Linked DNA regions of Callithrix jacchus. The protein of the gene in region 4 purifies or fractionates together with the protein of the main gene of each other region. This does not show direct contact. Links are inferred from orthologs where the notes say so. Each region holds a gene or a part of one and is shown on either strand. Other genes may lie near its edges. The genes, in order: NAPA, VAMP2, STX6, SNAP23 and VAMP8.

What was found.
Region 1: the proteins of SNAP23 (region 4) and NAPA purify together in Homo sapiens (affinity purification with mass spectrometry; 4 studies listed by BioGRID and IntAct, with this or other methods). This does not show direct contact. The link is inferred for Callithrix jacchus from reciprocal best matches to the Homo sapiens genes SNAP23 and NAPA.
Region 2: the proteins of SNAP23 (region 4) and VAMP2 purify together in Homo sapiens (affinity purification with western blotting; 4 studies listed by BioGRID and IntAct, with this or other methods). This does not show direct contact. The link is inferred for Callithrix jacchus from reciprocal best matches to the Homo sapiens genes SNAP23 and VAMP2.
Region 3: the proteins of SNAP23 (region 4) and STX6 purify together in Homo sapiens (affinity purification with mass spectrometry; 3 studies listed by BioGRID and IntAct, with this or other methods). This does not show direct contact. The link is inferred for Callithrix jacchus from reciprocal best matches to the Homo sapiens genes SNAP23 and STX6.
Region 5: the proteins of SNAP23 (region 4) and VAMP8 purify together in Homo sapiens (affinity purification with western blotting; 3 studies listed by BioGRID and IntAct, with this or other methods). This does not show direct contact. The link is inferred for Callithrix jacchus from reciprocal best matches to the Homo sapiens genes SNAP23 and VAMP8.

What each region holds. Positions count from the first base shown.
Region 1 is NC_133523.1:41,431,567-41,435,078, reverse strand, and holds part of NAPA (alpha-soluble NSF attachment protein), read left to right. Parts: intron 1-526; coding exon 527-604; intron 605-843; coding exon 844-899; intron 900-970; coding exon 971-1,055; intron 1,056-1,849; coding exon 1,850-1,954; intron 1,955-3,018; coding exon 3,019-3,087; intron 3,088-3,512. UniProt on the Homo sapiens protein: Required for vesicular transport between the endoplasmic reticulum and the Golgi apparatus. Together with GNA12 promotes CDH5 localization to plasma membrane.
Region 2 is NC_133506.1:74,637,175-74,641,212, reverse strand, and holds the start of VAMP2 (vesicle-associated membrane protein 2), read left to right. Parts: upstream 1-1,232; 5' UTR 1,233-1,301; coding exon 1,302-1,303; intron 1,304-1,824; coding exon 1,825-1,945; intron 1,946-2,426; coding exon 2,427-2,585; intron 2,586-2,667; coding exon 2,668-2,719; intron 2,720-3,327; coding exon 3,328-3,344; 3' UTR 3,345-4,038. UniProt on the Homo sapiens protein: Involved in the targeting and/or fusion of transport vesicles to their target membrane. Major SNARE protein of synaptic vesicles which mediates fusion of synaptic vesicles to release neurotransmitters.
Region 3 is NC_133519.1:39,281,133-39,284,644, reverse strand, and holds part of STX6 (syntaxin-6), read left to right. Parts: intron 1-3,153; coding exon 3,154-3,279; intron 3,280-3,512. UniProt on the Homo sapiens protein: SNARE promoting movement of transport vesicles to target membranes. Targets endosomes to the trans-Golgi network, and may therefore function in retrograde trafficking.
Region 4 is NC_133509.1:30,176,111-30,180,384, forward strand, and holds the start of SNAP23 (synaptosomal-associated protein 23), read left to right. Parts: upstream 1-1,474; 5' UTR 1,475-1,558; intron 1,559-2,986; exon of another isoform or gene 2,987-3,094; 5' UTR 3,095-3,191; intron 3,192-3,713; exon of another isoform or gene 3,714-3,839; 5' UTR 3,840-3,880; intron 3,881-4,274. UniProt on the Homo sapiens protein: Essential component of the high affinity receptor for the general membrane fusion machinery and an important regulator of transport vesicle docking and fusion.
Region 5 is NC_133515.1:27,446,700-27,450,864, reverse strand, and holds the start of VAMP8 (vesicle-associated membrane protein 8), read left to right. Parts: upstream 1-1,356; 5' UTR 1,357-1,417; coding exon 1,418-1,420; intron 1,421-3,467; coding exon 3,468-3,626; intron 3,627-4,165. UniProt on the Homo sapiens protein: SNAREs, soluble N-ethylmaleimide-sensitive factor-attachment protein receptors, are essential proteins for fusion of cellular membranes.

The DNA.
Region 1 (3,512 bases), on a different chromosome or scaffold from region 4:
GCATGGGCTGGAACCTGAGGCCTCCCTGGGGAGCTCTGGGTGTGCATGGAGGAGGCTGACAGGTGGCTGTTGGCCTGGGGGCAGAGCTGGTGCTCTTGGCAGGGGTCTCAAGCCCTCCCTCCCATCCTGGTTTCTCCAGAGCCTTTTGCCAAGTGATTCTGGGCTGGTCCTTCTGCCTCTCTGGCCTCTCTATCAGATGCTTCCTCAGGGCCAGGGCCTCAGCCAAGTGCTCGTGCTCACATCCTCTCTGGTATCACACCATCTGTGCCCCCGTGGGTCGGATAGAATTAGGCGGAGGCCCTGGAGTGGCTTGCCCAAGGTCACCTGCTCAGCCCAGCACGCACAACCAGGAGTGCTGGGGCCCTCCGTTCTCACCCGTGTCCCCCCCTCTCAGTGTCTTCTTCATGTCTCCTCGAAGGCGTGGCTGAGGGGTGGGAACCTGAAGGGTCATGGGTCAGCAGGGGTGCAGGGCCAGGCATGCAAGAGCTCACCAGGCACAGGCAGCCCCTTCCCGTGTTCCCTCTAGGGCCGATTCACGATTGCGGCCAAGCACCACATCTCCATTGCTGAGATCTATGAGACGGAGCTGGTGGACATTGAGAAGGTGAGTGGCAGCAGGGCCCTGCCTGGGCTGGCAGCCAGGACCAGCGCGGCTCTGTCTTCTTCCCACCAGGGGACTCCTCTGGTGTCTGAGTGCTGAGAAGAGAGGGTGGGGGACCGGCAGAGGTCAGGTAAAGGGGTCTGGCTGTGTCCCAGGCAGGCAGGGCGGAGGGTGTAGAAGCTGCATGAGGCCTCCTCTCCCACCGCTGCTCAGCTCTGAAACCTGCCCCCGTGTCTCCCCAGGCCATCGCCCACTATGAGCAGTCCGCAGACTACTACAAAGGCGAGGAGTCCAACAGGTAGCCCCCTTCCTGCCTGCCCCTCCCCGCAGGGACCACCACCACTTCCCTCACTCCTCCTCCCCACACAGCTCAGCCAACAAGTGTCTGCTGAAGGTGGCTGGCTACGCCGCGCAGCTGGAGCAGTATCAGAAGGCCATTGACATCTACGAACAGGTGGGGAACAGATGGCGACCCTGCCCGCTCTCAGGACATGTGCCTCCTCCTAGGAACCAGCACCTTGTTTTGGAACCACCCCTCCCCCAGCTCGCCCTCTGCCTCTCCCGATCCCCTCAACCCCATCCTCAGCCTGGCTGAATGTTCTCCACCTATGACCCTATGCCATGCTGGCACCCTCTCCCTGGCTGTGCCCCTCCCACACCCCATGCAGAGTTTCCTGGAGGGATCCAGAGTGAGGCTGGCCAAGAACAGAGTCAAAGAGAGAACGGAAAGAATTGCCAAGGGGCCCGGGGTGCCTGTGGGCACCCTACCCCATGACACAACGGTCCTCATCCACAGTGAGCGGGAGGGAGTGTCACATGGGCTCCTTGCAGTGTGCACACAGCCCTGGGTGATGGCCGAGAAACAGGCAGGCAGCTGGCCCCGGGGGAGAGAGGGGCGGGCACCGCCTCTCATGTTCCCGCCGCCTGCCACCCCTCTGCCCACCGCTGTGCCAGCCTCCCGTTGGTCCTGACAGCCAGACTGCCTCCTCCCCACTGTCTCAGGCTCTCGGGAGGCCCACGGACACCTGGCTACAGTCTCAGCCACCGTCATGCCCTGATCTTGGCTGCTCACGCACTGGCCACTGACCTCCCCAAGCTGGTTCCTGGCTCCCTGCCATTAGGGTCCTGGGTTCACAGGCCCTCACCCCAGGACACAGACCCAGCTCCCAGCTGGCTCCCGGTGCTTGGCAGTGGCCCTGGCCCTCTGGCTGCTTGCCCTGAGCTCACAGTGCTACTTCATGGCTGCAGGTGGGGACCAGCGCCATGGACAGCCCCCTCCTCAAGTACAGTGCCAAAGACTACTTCTTCAAGGCGGCCCTCTGCCATTTCTGCATCGACATGCTCAACGCCAAGGTAGTGCGCCCCGCGCCGGCCAGGCCACCATGTGCCTATCACCAGGCCAGAGGGGGTGTGCTCGTCCCTCACGCCTGGCCCCTGCCAGCTGGCCTTTGGAGGAGGAGTGTGGTTCTCACCGCTGTGTTTCTGTGCTGGCGTCACCTGCCGCTGGTCCTGGAGGCTCTTGCGGGTCTAGCTCCTGCCTTACTGTGCTCTTTCCTTCGTGGGTACACTGTTTGAATCCTCACTGCACCCCATAAAGTCAGCACCATTGTCACCTCATTTTATGGGTGAAGATGCTGAGGCTGGGACGAGAGTTTGAGGCCATGTGCGTAGGGACCTGCAGCTCAACGTTCCAGAGCTTCGTGACTGCCGCTGTAATGCCTTTAACTGGAGCTCACATGCCCGCCTGTTTTCAGGGCACTTGGCAAAAGGGGCCAGAGAGGGCAGTGGGTCGAGGGCATGGCCAGCAGGAAGGAGCCAGAGGGTTGGCACTAGACTTTGCTTGGCTGGAGTTTTCCCACCATTGCCTGGCAGGAGCACAGAGCCCAGGATTTCCTGGTCCCCCTGGCTGCCCAGCCCCTGCCTCACAGCCCTTCCGAGCCCTGCTCTGCTGTGACCACCAGCCTGGGCTTTGCCAGACCAGGTTCACATCCCCACCCTATGTCTCACCGTGCCCTGGGCACGTCACTGCCCCTCTGGATCTGTTTCCTCCCTTTAAAAAGGGTGCTCATCATTATTTGACCCTCTCAGAGTCCTCAGGAAGCACCAGCCCCGGGCCTGGCATGGAGGATGTGCTCATTTGCCTGCTGCCCCAGCTGAGCCAGGTGGGAGGAGGCAGTGGGTACCTGCCTGGGGAACCTTCCCCCTCCACCCACCACTCTCTGCAGCCAGGATGGTGCTGAGCTCAGCTCCGGGGAGGTACTGACAGGCACAGAGCCAGGTGACACCTGAGGCTTGGGGAGGGGCGTGCAGCGCTGACTCAGTATCACCAGCCATCCCCAGGTCCTCTCGGCTGCCAGGCCAGCAGCTCTGAGGGCCCTCTCATGACTGACTCGCCCTCCTCCCTCCCTGCTGTCCAGCTGGCTGTGCAGAAGTATGAGGAGCTGTTCCCAGCTTTCTCTGATTCCCGGGAATGCAAGTTGGTGAAAGTAAGTGCTGAGTGCTCCAGCCTCCCACTTCTCAAACCAGATGCGGGTGGCCAGGGTTCACGTGGGACAGTCACTGAGGCTTGTCCAGTGGTTCTCAGAGGGTGTCTTTGTGTTGTTTTCTTTGGCCAGTTGAGTCTCCATTTTCCAGATGAAGAAAGTACAACTTGGGGAGTGTTAGAGCCCGGGGTGGGCTGGGTGGACACACACCACACATGACATGCACACCACACATACACCACACACACCACACATGACATGCACCCCACACACACACCACACATGACATGCACACCACACACACACACCACACATGACATGCACACCACACATGACATGCACCCCACACACACACCACACATGACATGCACCCCACACACACACCACACATGACATGCACCCCACACACACACCACACATGACATGCA
Region 2 (4,038 bases), on a different chromosome or scaffold from region 4:
GGAGTGTGTACAGCTGCTGGGTGCACCTAGAGGTCCTAATGGAGACCAGCCCCAGATGGATCAGCGGTAGGTGATCTCCTACCACGATATCCACATCAAGCCATTTAAAAAATAGGAATTTAGTACCTACATGTGCAATATATTTGGGGTCCAGAGAGAGGAGGGCAACTGTCCAAGGTCACACCTGCGAGGTGAATACGCATGTAAAGTAGCACCCTGTAACCTGTTCTCCCTGTGCCTATTATTAAAGAGAAAAAAATGAGAGAAAAAGGCTTTTTTTGTTTTTGTTTGGCCCAGGTCCCGTGCCTGGGACCAAAGCCTGAGCCCTCGCCTGCAGTCGGGGTCGCTGACCCAAGCCTGGGGCAAAGCTAGGTCTTGGCCAGCCAGCAACCTACCACGTGAAGCAGCCCCCACCAACCCACCATTCCCGGCAGCCTTGTTTCCTCCTCCTTGGGGTCCTCAGCCCACCTCCGTCGGCCCTGCTCCAGCAACTAAGTACCCCTAGTCTGAACTTCAGTCGTGAGGCGGGGCAGCCCCCTCCTCACCTACTGTAGACACTCCCCGTCCCCCGCTCCCCGGACTAGTTTGGGCGGGAAGAGCCTGCCTCATCTTTTCTTCCTACCCTCCTACCCAGTGGCTAGGGACCCCAGGCTTCCTCTGAGACATCCACCAGCGAGCGGGGTGATGGGGTGGGACTAACCTCCCTCACTCCCCACCACCCGAGCAGCAGGGTCCCCGCTCTTGGCATTGCCCCAGCATCTGCACTAGCTCCCTCTGATTTCCCAACCCCAGCCCATTCCAAGTGCTGAAGGCGGGTCGCTCGGTGCTGGGGCCTGGGCGCGGGGAGAGACCTTGGGCTGTGTGGGGTGCTGGCTGGTTTACTGGGATCACGATTGCGGGGGGTGGTCTGGGGCTTAGGTGTGGGGTCGGGCTGCAGTGTGTCCTTACTAAGGAGAGTTTGGGGGCGGCTGTGGGAGGCTGTGGTCAGAGGCGGGTGGCGGTGGGTTTGGGGAGGCCGCAACAGTCCACCTTGGGGTCCCTCGAGTGGTGAAGGAGCTACCCCGGCGCTGGGGCTCCAGGCCCGCGGCCCCGCCCGGCACGACCCCAACACGGCAGCGCCCCGCCCCCGGCCCCGCTCCCGATGCGTCTCCCGCGGAGCCCCGCCCCCGCCTGCAGTGCCCGGATGCGGGTGACGCGCGGCCGCCATCTTCCCGTCCCGGGCAGCCAGCGCCAGTCGGAGCCAGCGCGAGCCGCTGCCGCCATCACTGCCGCTGCCAAGTCCTCCGCCCGCTGCCCCCGCCATGTGAGTCGGCTGCCCGCCACCCCCGCCGCGCTTCCCCGCGCCGGCCGCCGCCCTTGGCAACCGGCCTCGGGGAGTGCCCGGGGTCTCGTCCGCGTCCCCCGCGTTCCCCACGACCCGGGGCCAGGCCCAAGCCGGTGACTGCGCGCAGGCGGCCGAGGAGCCCCGCGTCCCGGGCTGGCCGGCTCGGGCGACGGCCGCGGGAAGGAGCTGACTCGGTGTCTTCCTGCCCCGCCCCGCCCCTGTCGCCGCGGCCGCCTGTCTTTTCGGGTCGACCCCTATCGCATCTATGAGGTCGCCCTCATTTGACAGGCGGGGAAACTGAGGCCGGGGGAAGGGGGGCTCGCTCAAGGTCACGCAGCCATTGGTGGCGGGGCTGGACCGAGACCAGGGCTTTCATCGGGTGGCCTTCCTCCCGAAAAGGAGGACTGGAGGGACGAGGATGGACAGGTGGATGGGCGGAGCCCTGGCTGTGGGGCCGGGAGGCTCCAGGCCCTGGATCTTAATCCGTCCCTGCTCCTCAGGTCTGCTACTGCTGCCACGGCCCCCCCTGCCGCCCCAGCTGGGGAGGGTGGCCCCCCTGCGCCCCCTCCAAACCTCACTAGTAACAGGAGACTGCAGCAGACCCAGGCCCAGGTGGATGAGGTGAGTGTGGGGGAAGTCAAAGGCAGCAGGAAAGACCCTGGGGATTGGCATATAGGTGTAGGGGCCCATGTTGGTTTGGGAGTGATGACATTTCACACCTGTGGGTTTGCGGACAAAGATACCATGCCCCATCCCTGTCTCCCTGTCAGCACGCACCTGGAAGGGCACTAGGGATGTTAATCAGCTTTGCTAGCCTGGGGTGTGCCAGCCTGGGCAGGTGTGCTCTGGTGATGGACAGAGCGCCTGGGGCTCCATAGAGAGAGGGTGTTGCTGTGACATCTGAGATGTCAGCAGCATGCCCCTGATGTGTGCTCCTTGCATGTCCCCAGGTGTGCTAGGCATGTTCTGTGTGTCCTTGGCATGTTAACCTGGCGCATCAGGGTGCATGTTCCATGCATGGCATGGTGGGCACATGTTTGAGGATTGCCCTCACTGAGGTGGGCCTTGGCACACCCCCCTGCCTCGTGGGCCCCTCTCCCAGGTGGTGGACATCATGAGGGTGAACGTGGACAAGGTCCTGGAGCGAGACCAGAAGCTATCTGAGCTGGATGACCGTGCAGACGCGCTCCAGGCAGGGGCCTCCCAGTTTGAAACAAGTGCAGCCAAGCTCAAGCGCAAGTATTGGTGGAAAAACCTCAAGGTAAGGGTGGGGACAGATAGGGGACTGGCAGGTGAATGGAGTATCATGATTCGTCTCACTGATCCTTCCCTCTCATCCCCAGATGATGATCATCTTGGGAGTGATTTGCGCCATCATCCTCATCATCATCATAGGTGAGTAGGGTGGGAATGGCCGGGGAGGTTCCCCCAGTAGATTCTGGGTTTTAAAGGTCATTAACCTAGTTTTACTCTTCAGCCAAAAACAGTCGTAGCTGCTAATGGCAATTCTGATTCATCTAGAGCCAAAAACTTTGATGTTATTTAGCTTGCAGTTTGCCTGGTTCTGGACAGTTTTTGTTAACATTTGGAAAAAGGAAAGGTGATGTATCCATTAAGGACCCTTTGGGCCTAAGAGCCCAGTCCAAGAACCCTGAAACTGATGAGTGGGAGAAAGGAAAGGCCCAGGGGCTTGAGACATGACCAGGAAGACAACCACCCCATGATTTGAGAACTTGTGGTCTCAGAGGCTCAGAGGATTAGCATCTGTGGCCTCATGGCCATACCATGGAGTTGAAGGGACCTCAGAACCTACCTGTCTAGCCCCCTGCTTTGTAGATGGAGAAACTGAGGCCAAGAGAGGGGAAGGGGTGTCAACCCGCTGGGGAGTGGGGAGGATTGGAGCAGGGCCAGGCCTGACACACTGCTTTCTTTTTTTCTCTCTCTCTCTCTTTCTCTCCTCCTCCCCTCTCCTCCTTCCTTATCTTCTTCCTCTCTCTCCACAGTTTACTTCAGCACTTAAATCCCCGAGGAGTCTGCCCTGCCTAGAGAAGGGCCTCTCCCCCCACCCTCAGCCGTTCCTCCACCTCTCAGCCATATCTTTCAGTCCCCCTCCCCTGGATCCGTGTGTGTCTGTGTGTCCCCCTGTAAATAGCCAGCTGTTATTTATACATATATAATATTATATATATTTGGTCTGTTTGTAGTTTTATTACTAGAAGATTTTTCCGGTTGTCCTTAACACCCCTTCCTGAGGTTCCCTTCACCTCCTCTCTCTTGCCTTCCTTTCCTTTCCCTTTCTTCCTGACTAGCCCCAAGTCCCTTCATTTGCATCTGCTATGCAATAGTCCCTCTCCTCTCCTCCTCCTTCCCTCAGATTTAGCTGATCCATCCTCCCACCCTGGCCTTCCTTTCCTCCTCCCTCTCCCCTTCATGCTCCCTGTGCTCCGCCCTCAAAAAAAAAAAATGAAAAGCACCTGTCCGGGCTTCCTTAGGTGCATCTTTTTTGCATCCATTAGGAGGCTCTGAGACTGGCCCCACTTGGTCCTAAGAATCCCAAGGTCTTTGGGAGCGTCCAGCATGTTAATTAGTGTATCATTGCATACTGCAGTCTCTTTCCATTTCTTTTTGTTCTATCACTCTTCTCTTAACCTGTGTTTCTTTTTTTCACTGAGGAGTTAGTCCCCATTAATACTTGTATTACATTTTTGTTTGCA
Region 3 (3,512 bases), on a different chromosome or scaffold from region 4:
TGACCATCCATGGATCATGTAATCAAGAGGAAGACCTCTGCATGCAGGCCCTGGTGTGACCATGGGAGGTTTTGTGACAGTCCAGGCAGCTGTCCCTGTACCCTGTCAGCGTTTCCCTCCCCTCTCTCACCTTCTGATTCTTTCCTGTGGGCTCCCATAGCACCTTTTGCCTACCCTTACTATGGCACTTGTCAGAGTACTTTTACTGTTTTCATGTGTTTATTCTGCACCTGTTGAGCACGTTCTGTGTGCTAGGCTCTTTTAAGGGCTATAATTACTTACTGTCTTTCTCTCTGCTGGGCCCCAGGCCCCTTGAGAGTGAGGAGAGATCTGTGTCTTGGTTTTTAGTTGTTGGGTTTTTTTTTTGAGCTCTCTAGTAGTTACTACATTGCCTACCCATGGAACACAATAGACATCTATGGATTGACATTTGATGTAAAGACATTAGAGGAACCTTAAACTTGTGTCTTAAATTTCTCTTTAAGTAGTTTTTTAAAATTACATACTTTGGCATATTTATAGAAACTGCTTTCTAATTGTTAAAATATAGTTCTTTAAAAAAATGTAGAATGGTCATCTAGAATTTGGACTTTAATTTAGATTGAAATTTGATTTAGACTTTTTTGGTGGGATAGAATGTTTTTTGCCTGTTGCTAAACTGTTAGGTGATTTTTTTATGGAAGTAGTTTTTTAAAATTCTGTGGATATCCATTTTTCTTAGGAGTAAACAGTAAATAGTATCATGAAAAATGATAGTTTGTTTTAAATGAATTATGATTCCAGAAAGTTACGAATTGTCCGTATAGTAGGCTCTTGAGAAATCTTGCTATTTTTACTTAACTAGCAATCAGTACTTTATAACATAAATCCTTACTTTATACCTGTGGGTGTTTGTCAAGCCACTTCATTTTGAAAACAAATATGAAAGCTTGAAGAAGGGGGAGGGTTCTATAAATATCACCTCACTTAATTTTTCTGTTTGCTTTTCTTGCATTCCATTTTTCAAGTCATTGTTTTGTTTTTGGCTTTTTAATCTTATTTGCCTCCTTTGCTTTCTTTTTGATCAGTACAGCTAGGAAGAGCCACTAGCTGGTTCATTCCGTCTGGCTCCCTCTCTTGAAAGAAGCTAGTGAATGGCCTCAAGTTGGCTAGTTTTGGAGTTCTCTTCTCATTTGCACTTGACCTTATAGGAAGTGGAAGTACCTGAAGTAGTTGTGGCAGTGAAGTTGGTAACACCTATGCTGCCACTCTAACTTGAATGTTTTATTCTCTAGATAGTATAGGCTACTATCCACATTAGTATGGGCTAATGTGGATAACATGGGCATATGTATTGCCTGTCCAAGTGTGGCCTGGAATTTGGTTTTAGGCCATGAGCGAAATGTCAAGTTGCAAATGTTTAAGGAATGGCAAGGCCAGGGCTTTCTAAGCCTCCTGCAGGCCTGGGCCTTGCTGTGTCATGCCAGGCACCAGGTATTGTGCTGCTCCCTCCACCAACCCTGCTTTGGCACCCACGCACAGGTGCATCTCCCAGCGCTTGGCTCCTCTCTCAATCTCTTTCCTATTAGACCTCTGGGGTCAGACCAATGAACTTTAAGCACCTTTACAATAAAATGTGGATGATTTGCCCTATACTTAGCTCTGCCTAAGTGTAGACCATGGAAAATGTAGGCAAAATAGCCCTGTGACCTCAGGAGCACATAAGGCCCTGGTGATGTCCCAGTTCACTGTCCTTAGGCATTACAGCCTTTTTCTGACCCTAAAAAAATTGTCACTAGTTCCTCATGTCTTCCATAGAGGTCCTTAGAGTCTGGATCAGAATGAGCAGGATCTTTTCAGTGTTGACAGCCCTAAGACCAGGTCAGGGCAGAGCCACCCACAAAAACCCTTGGATCTGCTTTACACCAGAGACAGTCACCATCTAGCCTCTTGACTGGACTGCCCTGGGCCACTGGAAGCTCTTGTAAGAAGAGCTTCTAATAACTGAGCCTCTTAGAAACTCTGCTAATAACAACCTCAGAACATAGCACACTGCATCCCGAGCTGCCCTGATTGTCCCTGAAGTCTGGCCATTTGATGGAGCTCACCCCTTGCAGTCTGGAATAAGTCAGTGCCACTATGAAGGAAGATCATGAGGCTGTTAGAAGGGTTTCAGATAGAACCAAGTAAACAGTCAGGCTTTTAATAGTGCCAGAGATTTTTTTTTTAATTACCTAGTAGGAAATGGCAACTCAACAAGAAAAAAAGTCTTAGTTGCTGGCGTCTTCTGGCTCTTGGCGCACGGCTGGTGTGAGCAGTTACTTTGACCTGTCAGAAAGGCTTGTGGGAATCTGGTCAGAACCAACTGTGGAGACTGAGCTCTCACATTCCGGCCTGGCCTCTTCATGTGAGGAAGACATACCCAACCTTACCCATTTATGGCTGCAGACTTCCCTGAATTCGTACTTCAGAAACCCAGCCCTGTTGTCTGGGAGCCGTGGTGGAAGACTGACTTTAGGGCAGCCCTTGCCTAGGTTGCCAAGGTCAGGGATTCCTTGTGGTCACACCTGCCTGGTGAAGGAACCCCAGTTGTCATCTGGAAAGCCTGAAGGACCCTGGATTCTATTCATGGGTTAAACTTTACAGACATTGATGGTTCTTAAGCCTTTTGTGTGTGAAGGACTATGGCTTACCTGCTTGTAGTTTGAGGGACCTCTCCTTTTCCCCCCACCAAAAACCCCAAAACTTCCCTGGGTCACACTTTTCTTAAAAAAGTACTTTAGATCTTTGGAATCAGGTTGACTGGAACCTATGGGTTGCTGAAGTTCCACAGGTGCCAGGAAGAGCTCTTTGACAAAAGATTGAGTGCTTTTCAGTTATAACACAGTATCTAGATGGGCGTTTGCTGATTTAGCAGGCATTTATTTGCACTTTAAGGGGACAAAGCCCATTGTGAGGCCTGTTGGGAGAGCTTGAACACAGAGAGGGCCCTTCTGGAATTCCTTAAATTGTACCACACAGGCACCAGACTACACCACTAGATAAAAGCCTGGCCCAGGGGAAAATAGATGATAAGAAATGTGAAAACCCTTTATATCACTCTCGATGCTTCACTTGTTCAGAGATAGTAACCGTTTGTTTCTCCTGACTCCTCCGGTTGTCCTGCTCACACAGGCACTGCTGGGAGACAGTGGCAGCCAGAACTGGAGCACTGGAACAACAGATAAATACGGGCGCCTGGACAGAGAGCTCCAGCGAGCCAATTCTCATTTCATTGAGGAGCAGCAGGCACAGCAGCAGGTACCCCAAGGGGCCCAGGCTTAGGATGGGGCAGTGGGAAAAAATAAACACACCTTAGTTCCTTTGCCAGCCATGGGGTCTCATGGCTTAATGACAAGCGGGGTAAGCCAGAGCTTGTCCTGTGGTTTATTATGTTTAAATATTTAATGATTGCATGCATAAAGAGTTTCAATCTTCACAGCATGACTGCTTCAAGAGAACCAAGCTCAGCCAGGCATGGTGGTTTATACCTT
Region 4 (4,274 bases):
TCCCAGCGATCTCATTTGAAATGCTGCAGAAACCTACTTTCCATTACAATATCTCATTAATATTTTTATGACACACGTAAATGTAATTGGCAACTGTGTAGTAGATACTAAATAAATTCTAGTTGCATCTGAATACTGTCGTCCCTTATTTCATTCACGACCAAACTTGAGAACGGGCCTTAAAGCAAAAAAAAAAAAAATTTTTTTTTGAGATTGAGCCTCTCTCTCGCCCAGGAGGGAGTACAGTGGCGCGGTCTCGGCTCACTGCAACCTCCGCTTCCTGGGGCTCAACCGATTCTCTGCCTCAGCCTCCAGAGTCCTGGGATTACAGGCGCCCACCACCAAGCCCGGCTAATTTTTTGTATTTTTAGTACAGACGGGGTTTCACCGTCTTGGTCAGGCTGGTCTTGAACTCCTTGACCTCGTGATCCACCCGCCTAGGCCTCCCAAAGATCGCAGGCATGAGTCACCGCGCCCGGCCCTTAAAGCAAATTTTAAGGTTTCCCATGGGATTTACAACAGTACTAAACTCTTAGTAAGTACTCAAAAGTTATTTGTGGTTTGAATAGGCTGGATATAAACCATTACGGTGGATACAGCACTTGTTTGCTAAGCAAGAGAACTTCCCTGACCTAGAATGGCAGTCTCAAGTTGCTAAAAGCGAATCTCGAACTTCTCAACAAATCTTACTCTCAAAGATGATTAAACAACAAACTGAAATGGGAGGAGGGTGTAAAGCGTTTCCTCTCCATAACTATAAACCGAGATTCTGACTAAATATTAAATGAACACAGTAACCGCTCCATAATTAGTTGCCATTATTAAGATACATCACACACGGAGAGAAAGGAAAGGAGAAAAAGGAACGAAGGTTGTCAGTCGCGAGAGGTTGAAATGTGTCGCGGGACCTGAGACTACCGGCTTTAAGCACCAGGGTCTTTTGGACTCCCTGCCCAACTGAGGACCGAAGGTCAGCGGCTTCCCCTAAAGGTCAAGGCTTTGGAGCCACATTTCCTTCTGGGGCTGGGAGCAGAGCTGGAACGCCCCCACGAAAATCCGTACCCCGAAGCCAGCAGCACCGCCTGCCTGTAATCCCGCGCCGGCTCTGGGAGAGTGGACCGCTGGGTTACCCCTGCGCCGCAGCCTGCCGGAGCAGAAAGCGGGCCGCGTCTTGCAGCCACACAATCTCCCTAAGGGACAGACCACCAGGACCCTTGGGCTCCAATACGCTCAACGCAGGCCGGCCCATCGATACTCACATTCACAGCCAACCCCTCTTACTCCATCAGGCCGCCGAGAGACAGGCGAGGGAGCTCCCTGACGCCCCAGACTCCCCCCTTCAGTTTTGGGTCCGGGAGCCTGCTCCGGACCCGCTCCCCGCCGGGCCCTGCCACAGCCGCCGCCAGCGCGCAGGCGCACAGCGAGGCCGTCACGCTCTTTTTTTTCCTTTGCCTGCAGCCGTTCTCAATAATCTAGCTTTATTTGAACACAAGAGAGTGAACAACGGACACACAGGAAGAGGTTTTTCTCAAAAAGAATGGAGGAAGAACAAAGGCAGGTCAGCTTGCGGGAGAGTCGGTCCGCAGCATTGGACGCTATGAACAGTCTCCCTGGTCCCTTTTTCATTTTCTTTATTTCTCCTTGTTCTTTCCCGGCCTCCCTCTAGCTCCTTCCTTGGTGTCCCGCCATTTCCTTTAGTCAGTGGCAACTGTTCAGGCTAAAATTTGAAATAACTCCTTCCTTGTAAAATTTACTAAAATTTAATGGGAGGTGCAAGAGCTTTTAGGACAGACCTGCCCGAGTTTCAGATCTCGGACTAGCTACTAATAATTTACGACTTTGGGTAAATTAAAATTTTTCTTGGAACCTCAAGATCTTGAGTTAAAATTAGGATAATGTTGGGCCAGTCACGGTGGCTCATGCCTGTAATCTCAACACTTTGGGAGGCCGAGGTGGGTGGGTCAGGAGATGGAGACCATCTTGGCCAACATGGTGAAACCCCTTCTCTACTTAAAAAAAAAAAAAAAAAAATAGCCTGGTATGGTAGCGGGCGCCTGTAGTCCCAGCTACTCAGGAGGCTGAGGCAGAAGAATCGCTTGAACCCGGGAGGCAGAGGTTGCAGTGAGCCGAAATGACGTCACTGCACTCTAGCCTGGCAACAGATCATGACTCGGTCTCAAAAAAAAAAAAACAAACAAAAAACCCTAAAATTAAGACAATGTTATCTCACAGGGTGTTGCTAAAATTAAATAACATAGGTCAAGTGTTTTATCCATGAATGCTGCCTATCACAGAGCAGACATTCCATTATAACTGGTTTTATTCTTACTCATGCCTAAGGTATTTATAATTTTTTTTTTTTTAGGTAGAAACGGGTTTCACCATCTTGCCCAGGCTAGTCTCAAACTCCTGGGCTCAAGTGAACAGCCTTCCAAAGTGCTGGATTACAGGTGTCACCCACTGCGCCCAGCCTACATTTATTATTATTACTGAGACGAAGTCTCACTCTGTCATCCAGGCTGGAGTGCAGTGGCACTATCTTGGTTCTCTGCAACCTCTGCCTTCCGGGTTCAAGCAGTTCTCCTGCCTCAGCCTCTCAAGTAGCTGGAATTACAGACATACACCACCATGTCCAGATAATTTTTGTATTTTTAGTAGAGATGGGGTTTCGCCATGTTGGCCAGGCTGGTCTCAAATTCCTGACCTCAAGTGATCTGCCCGCCCCGGCCTCCCAAAGTCCTGGGATTACAGATGTGAGCCACTGTGCCCAGCCGCCTATATTTATTATTAAACTTAGCTCATACCCATTCCCTCAGAGCCGTAATTTTAGTGACTGAGACTAATCAGATAAAGGAAATGACATTAAGGTTGATCATTATGTGAAGTGTTCCTCTTATATTATTGAGATTATAACATCTCTGTTTAACCAGACCGTCAATGCCTCAAATAAAAGTGAGCAGTTACATTCATCTCTATGTATATCCAGATTTGCTTCTAGAGGTTCAGGAAACTTCCAGTTCTGTGTTTGTGACATCACAAGTCCTTGAAACACTCAAGGGCTATGGTATGCTGCTCATTTTACTCTCCTTCAAAGGCATGCAATGGAAGAACTATTTTGCCCTGTAAACTCTGGCCCATCGTTCAAGGAAAAGCCTTTAGAAGACCACAGTCAGATATTGGTGATTATTAAGGTAAGCTACTTTAGTGTTTGTCAACTTTGGGATTACTGACATTTTTGGAACATATACTTTTTTGTTGTCAAGGGTATTATGTGCATTATAAGATGTTTAGCAGCAGATCGGGAGCACTAGCTCACATATGTAATCCTAGAACTTTGGGAGGTCAAGGCAGACAGATCGCTTGAGTCCAGGAGTTTGAGACCAGCATAAGTGACATGGTGAAACCTCATCTCTACAAAAAATATGAAAGTTAGCCGGGTGTGGTAGTACACACCTGTACTCCCAGCTACTTGGGAGGCTGAGGTGGGAGGATCTGAGCTGCAGAGGTAGAGGTTGCAGTGAGCCAACATCACACCACTGCCCTCCAGTCTGAGCAAGACCCTGTCTCTCTTTCTCTCTCTGTCTGTCTCTCTCTCTCTCTCTCTCTCTCTCTCTGTGTGTGTGTGTGTGTATGTGTGTGTGTGTGTGTATGTTTAGCAGCATCACTGGACAAGATGCCAGTAGTATCCACCCCCCATTTCCCTGTTATCACAGACATTGCTAAATATCCTCTGGAGGACAAAAGTGTCCCTGGTTGAGAACCATGGAATTATTATCAATGACCATCCCAACCCTAAATGAACTCAACTGTGCATTTTCTCCACCTCTGCCCTTGAAAAGTGACTACTGCTTGAGAAAGCTACACAGGAAGGGAGAAAATGGTGAGTTCATTTTTGCCCATATTAAAAAGGCCCTCAGTACTGCTTACCAGTCCTACAATGTTTTTCTATCCATTTCTTGTATTACTTTCTACAATATTCCAAATCTTCTCAACTTTCCTTTAAACTCCCAATACTATCTCCTTTTCTGTCAGATGATCCTATCTCCAACCTCACAGAGAAAACAGGTCATCAAATGAGAACTTTAACTTCCTTTTACTAAACATACAAACAGACACATTCTTCCTCTCATAATTGGGGAAGGAAGTATCTTCACTCTCTCTCTTTCTCCCTCCCTCACTTCTTCCAAAACCACTCCTCTCACCAGTGCTTTGAACTGCCTCGAAACTGCTGCTATTCTTACCCTTTCAAGAACTTTCCCTACTGACTATCCCTT
Region 5 (4,165 bases), on a different chromosome or scaffold from region 4:
GGAAGCTGACATTTCCTCCTTGGAACTGATTTCTTCTGGAATGGGTCAAGAATGTTCGTTCCCTTCTGAATGTCCCTGTTATTGTTCTTCCGTCTTGATAAACACTGTCAAGGAAGAACAGATTTTCTCTGGCCTAGAGCCAGGTTAGTGGAAAAATCCTTTGCCTTGGGCCCCCTGCTGTGGTCCACTGGGCCAGTCCTCTGATCACTGACTGGGATAAATGACCTCCACAGAGTCCCCTGAAGGGAAATGCAGATTTGCTGAACTCTGGAAGGGAAGAAGGGGATTGTTGGTGAGCCATCATTACGGACACTGTGCTAGAGGCATTGCACTGCACATGCTATCTTTTTGCTTCTTTTTTTTTGAGACGGAGTCTTGCTCTTGTTGCACAGGCTGGAGTGCAATGGCACTATCTCGACTCACTGCAACCTCCACCTCCTTGGTTCAAGCGATTCTCCTGCTTCAGCCTCCCGAGTAGCTGGGATTACAGGCTTGTGCCACCATGCCTGGCTAATTTTTGCATTTTTAGTAGATACGGGGTTTCACCATGTTGGCCAGGGTGGCTTCAATCTCCTGACCTCATGATCTGCCCGCCTCGGCCTCCCAAAGTGCTGGGATTACAGGCGTGAGCCACCGCACCCAGACCTCTTTTTGCTTCTTACCAGCACCATCTTAGCTAAGCATCAACACCTGCCAACTCCGCAGAGGTAAAAAGTTTCACTCAGGGGCCTGCAACTAATAACCCAGAGCTTTCTGACATCAGAGCCCAGGATCACAGTATTCCAGACTTCAGGGGTTTTAGTGCTTTCTGCCACCCAAGGACCTGAGAACGAAAGCTGTCCAGCAAGAAATTTTCATAACTGCATTCTATTTCCCTGTGAACTAGGCCTGGCATGGTTGATCTCGGTGTCTAGAAACTGGAGTCAGATATTCAAGATATAAAAAGGAAATCGCTAGTGGGGCGTCATGGCTCCTAGGACTTTGGAGGTTAAGGTGGGAGGATCGCCTGAGCCCAGAAGTTTGAGACCAGCCTGGGCAACACAATGAGACCTCGTCTCTATTAAAAAAAAAAAAAAAGATATGGCTGCTCTTTCTAGATCAGGAGGTCCAGCCTCAGAAAACCTAGGAGGGCTGCTTGATCTTTCTTTTCTAATTCCTGACAAGTTAGAAGACCTTTGGCATCTGAGAGCCCTTTTGCTTTAAGCTTAAGCTCTTGTTTGGGAAGCCACTGGGAGACTGCGAAGAGTGCCCGCCTACCTGGGGAAACCTGAGTTAGGTGTGGCTGGAGCGACTCGAGATGCGAGGTGGGCGGGGGCAGGCTGAAAGTTGGAGCAAGCAGGAAGTGAGCCGAGGGCCACCCTAGGAGGAAGCCGACGAGGCGAATTCACCTGCTGACCGGCCTGAGCTGCTCTGAGATATGGTGAGAGAACCGGGAACGAGGAAAGGGCTGTTTTAAAGAGGGGCCAGAGGGGGCTCGGGACCGGGGGTTAACTGTGATGGGGGAGGAGAGTTGGTGGCAAAGTTAGAGGGCTGGGCCAGTGCTGCCTGTGGCCTCTCCTCTTTGACAACTTGGCTGCAAATAGCTCTGAGCCGTCCTGGGAGGTGTTCCTACTCCTTTTCCCTCCCTCCCTCCCCTGACCTCTGTGCTCGTCACGAGCTGGGCTTCGGTGCTGGTGCCGACGGGGCTCCGAATTCCAGGCAAATAGTTGTTACGCCTTCCTCCTCCAGGGAGCCCCGAGGCGGGTGTTGTGACGCTACAAGGCAGCGCCCCAGCAGTTCCCAGTTCAGATTCCAACCCAGTGGCAGGAGCTGTCTCGGGCCTTTCACTTTATTCCCACACAGAAACACAAGGGATTTGTGTGTCCACGGAGTCCTTCGGGTGTCCTTTCTCCATTAACGTGAAGAAGAGAACTAAGCGTTTATAAAGAACCAGAAATTGGTTCTCTGTGATAATCCAGTTCTGACCCGTGCCACTGGCTTGTTTTTGGAGGTCAAGGAGGGAGGAGCTTAATAGTATTTTTCTCTCCTTGTTCAAACACTTGGTCATGAAGCTTCCCAGATGAGACATCAGCCAGGGAGGACTAGTCCTCCATTTCCCCCAATGCCAAGATGGGTGTTTTTATTTAGCATCTGCATAAGCAGGCAGTTCCTTGGTACCTGCACGTGGTGCCCAGTGGTGGGGAAAGCAGAAGTGTGTGGCTCAACGGTTCCTGGCGCCTTCTGGGGGACTTGGTTGCCTGTTGCTCTGGGTCACAGCAATGGCATTGTAGCCAGAGCAGGGCTCCAGCAGCTGTCTTGGAGGGACAGATAGGTTGGGCTAGGTGAGGATATTTTGCTGGCCAGCACAGACACTTTCTTTTTTTTTTTTGGCTCGAGTCTGGCTCTGTTGCCGAGGCTGGAGTATAATGGCATAATCTTGGCTCGCGGCAACCTCCACCTTTTTGGTTCAAGCGACTCTCCTGTCTCAGCCTCCGAGTAGCTGGGGTTACAGATACCTGCTACTATACCCAGCTATTATATATATGCGTGTGTGTATATATATATATATGTGTGTGTGTGTGTATGTGTATGTGTATATATATATATATATATATATATATATTTTTTTTTTTTTTTTTTTTTTTTTTTGAGACAGAGTTTCACTGTTGTTACCCAGACTGGAATGCAATGGCACGATCTCAGCTCACCGCAACCTCCGCCTTCTGGGTTCACGCAATTCTCCTGCCTCAGCCTTCCGAGTAGCTGGGACTACAGGCACGCACCACCATGCCCAGCTAATTTTTGTAGTTTTAGTAGAGACGGGGTTTCATCTTGTTGACCAGGATGGTCTCGATCTCTTGACCTTGTGAACCACACGCCTTGGCCTCCCAAAGTGCTGGGATTATAGGTGTGAGCCACCACGCCCGGCCTATTTCTTGTATTTTTAGTAGATATGGGGTTTCACCATGTTGGCCAGGCTGGTCTCAAACTCCTGACCTCATGATCCACACGCCCCATCCTCCCAAAGTGCTGGGATTACAGGCCAAGCCACCACACCTAGCACAGACACTTTCAATGAGGATCCAGAGAAATCAGGAAAGGGGGGGTGGCTCCAGGCATTGTAAATAGTGGTGGGCTCTGCCCTGGCGGGGAACACTGTGAGATGCAATGCGGCTCTGCTGTATTCTATGGCCCTCTTTAGGGAGCAAGGAAGCAGTGGGGAGGGATTTAGTGATGTGCTGCTTTTCCTTGTCAGGGGCCCAAAAAGGAGTTTGATCCAGTCTGTTTAGCATCACATCTCACCTTCTGAGGCTTACAAATGCATTTATTTTTTATTACACAATACATGAAAACATTCTCTTTGTAAACATTTCAAGCATTTTACAAAAAGCTAAAGTCTGCCTGAGGCCTTACACTCCCCAGACCTCTGAGGCCAATTCTCCAGTTCCCCCAGCACTTGTTCTAATTAACCCCATGTTGCTGTGCAGGAGGAAGGCAGTGAAGGTGGAGGAAATGATCGCGTAAGGAACCTGCAGAGTGAGGTGGAGGGAGTTAAGAATATCATGACCCAGAATGTGGAGCGGATCCTGGCCCGAGGGGAAAACTTGGAGCATCTCCGCAACAAGACAGAGGATCTGGAAGCCACAGTGAGGACGGGAAACCCACTGGGGGTTGGAGGAAAAGAGGGAGGAAGGGAATTTCTTTTTGGTGGGGCAAAATAAACACGAGGGCCAGAAGTTAGCCATTTCTGTTGCTTTTCACCAGGTTTGGGAGCTGATATGAGCAGTCTCTACTTCTGAATCTGCTCTGATCCACAGATTGTTAGGGATCCCAGGGAATGGATCCCATGACTGGGGCTTGAGGTGGCAGCTCGCCCATAGAGGCATGTTCTGAGACCAATAGCTCAGTCAGCCCCTGCATTCTTAGGATTCTCTCCTGGGAAACTGAATTTCCCTTTGAAGCCTGCCCAAGACAATCATTTGCATCTGACCTTCCCAGGGCAGAAATATTGGCTCTGAGGAAACTCCCCTATGGCCTCTAGCCTTCTCTAGGAGCTATTAGGCAAAGGGTGAGAAATTGCTGGCATCTTGGTAAGTTGGCTTTAAAAACAAGCTGGAAAGAGCAGTAAAATGCTTTGATCCCAGGGTCCCCTGCTAGATGAAGGCTAGAATAATATCTCCCACAC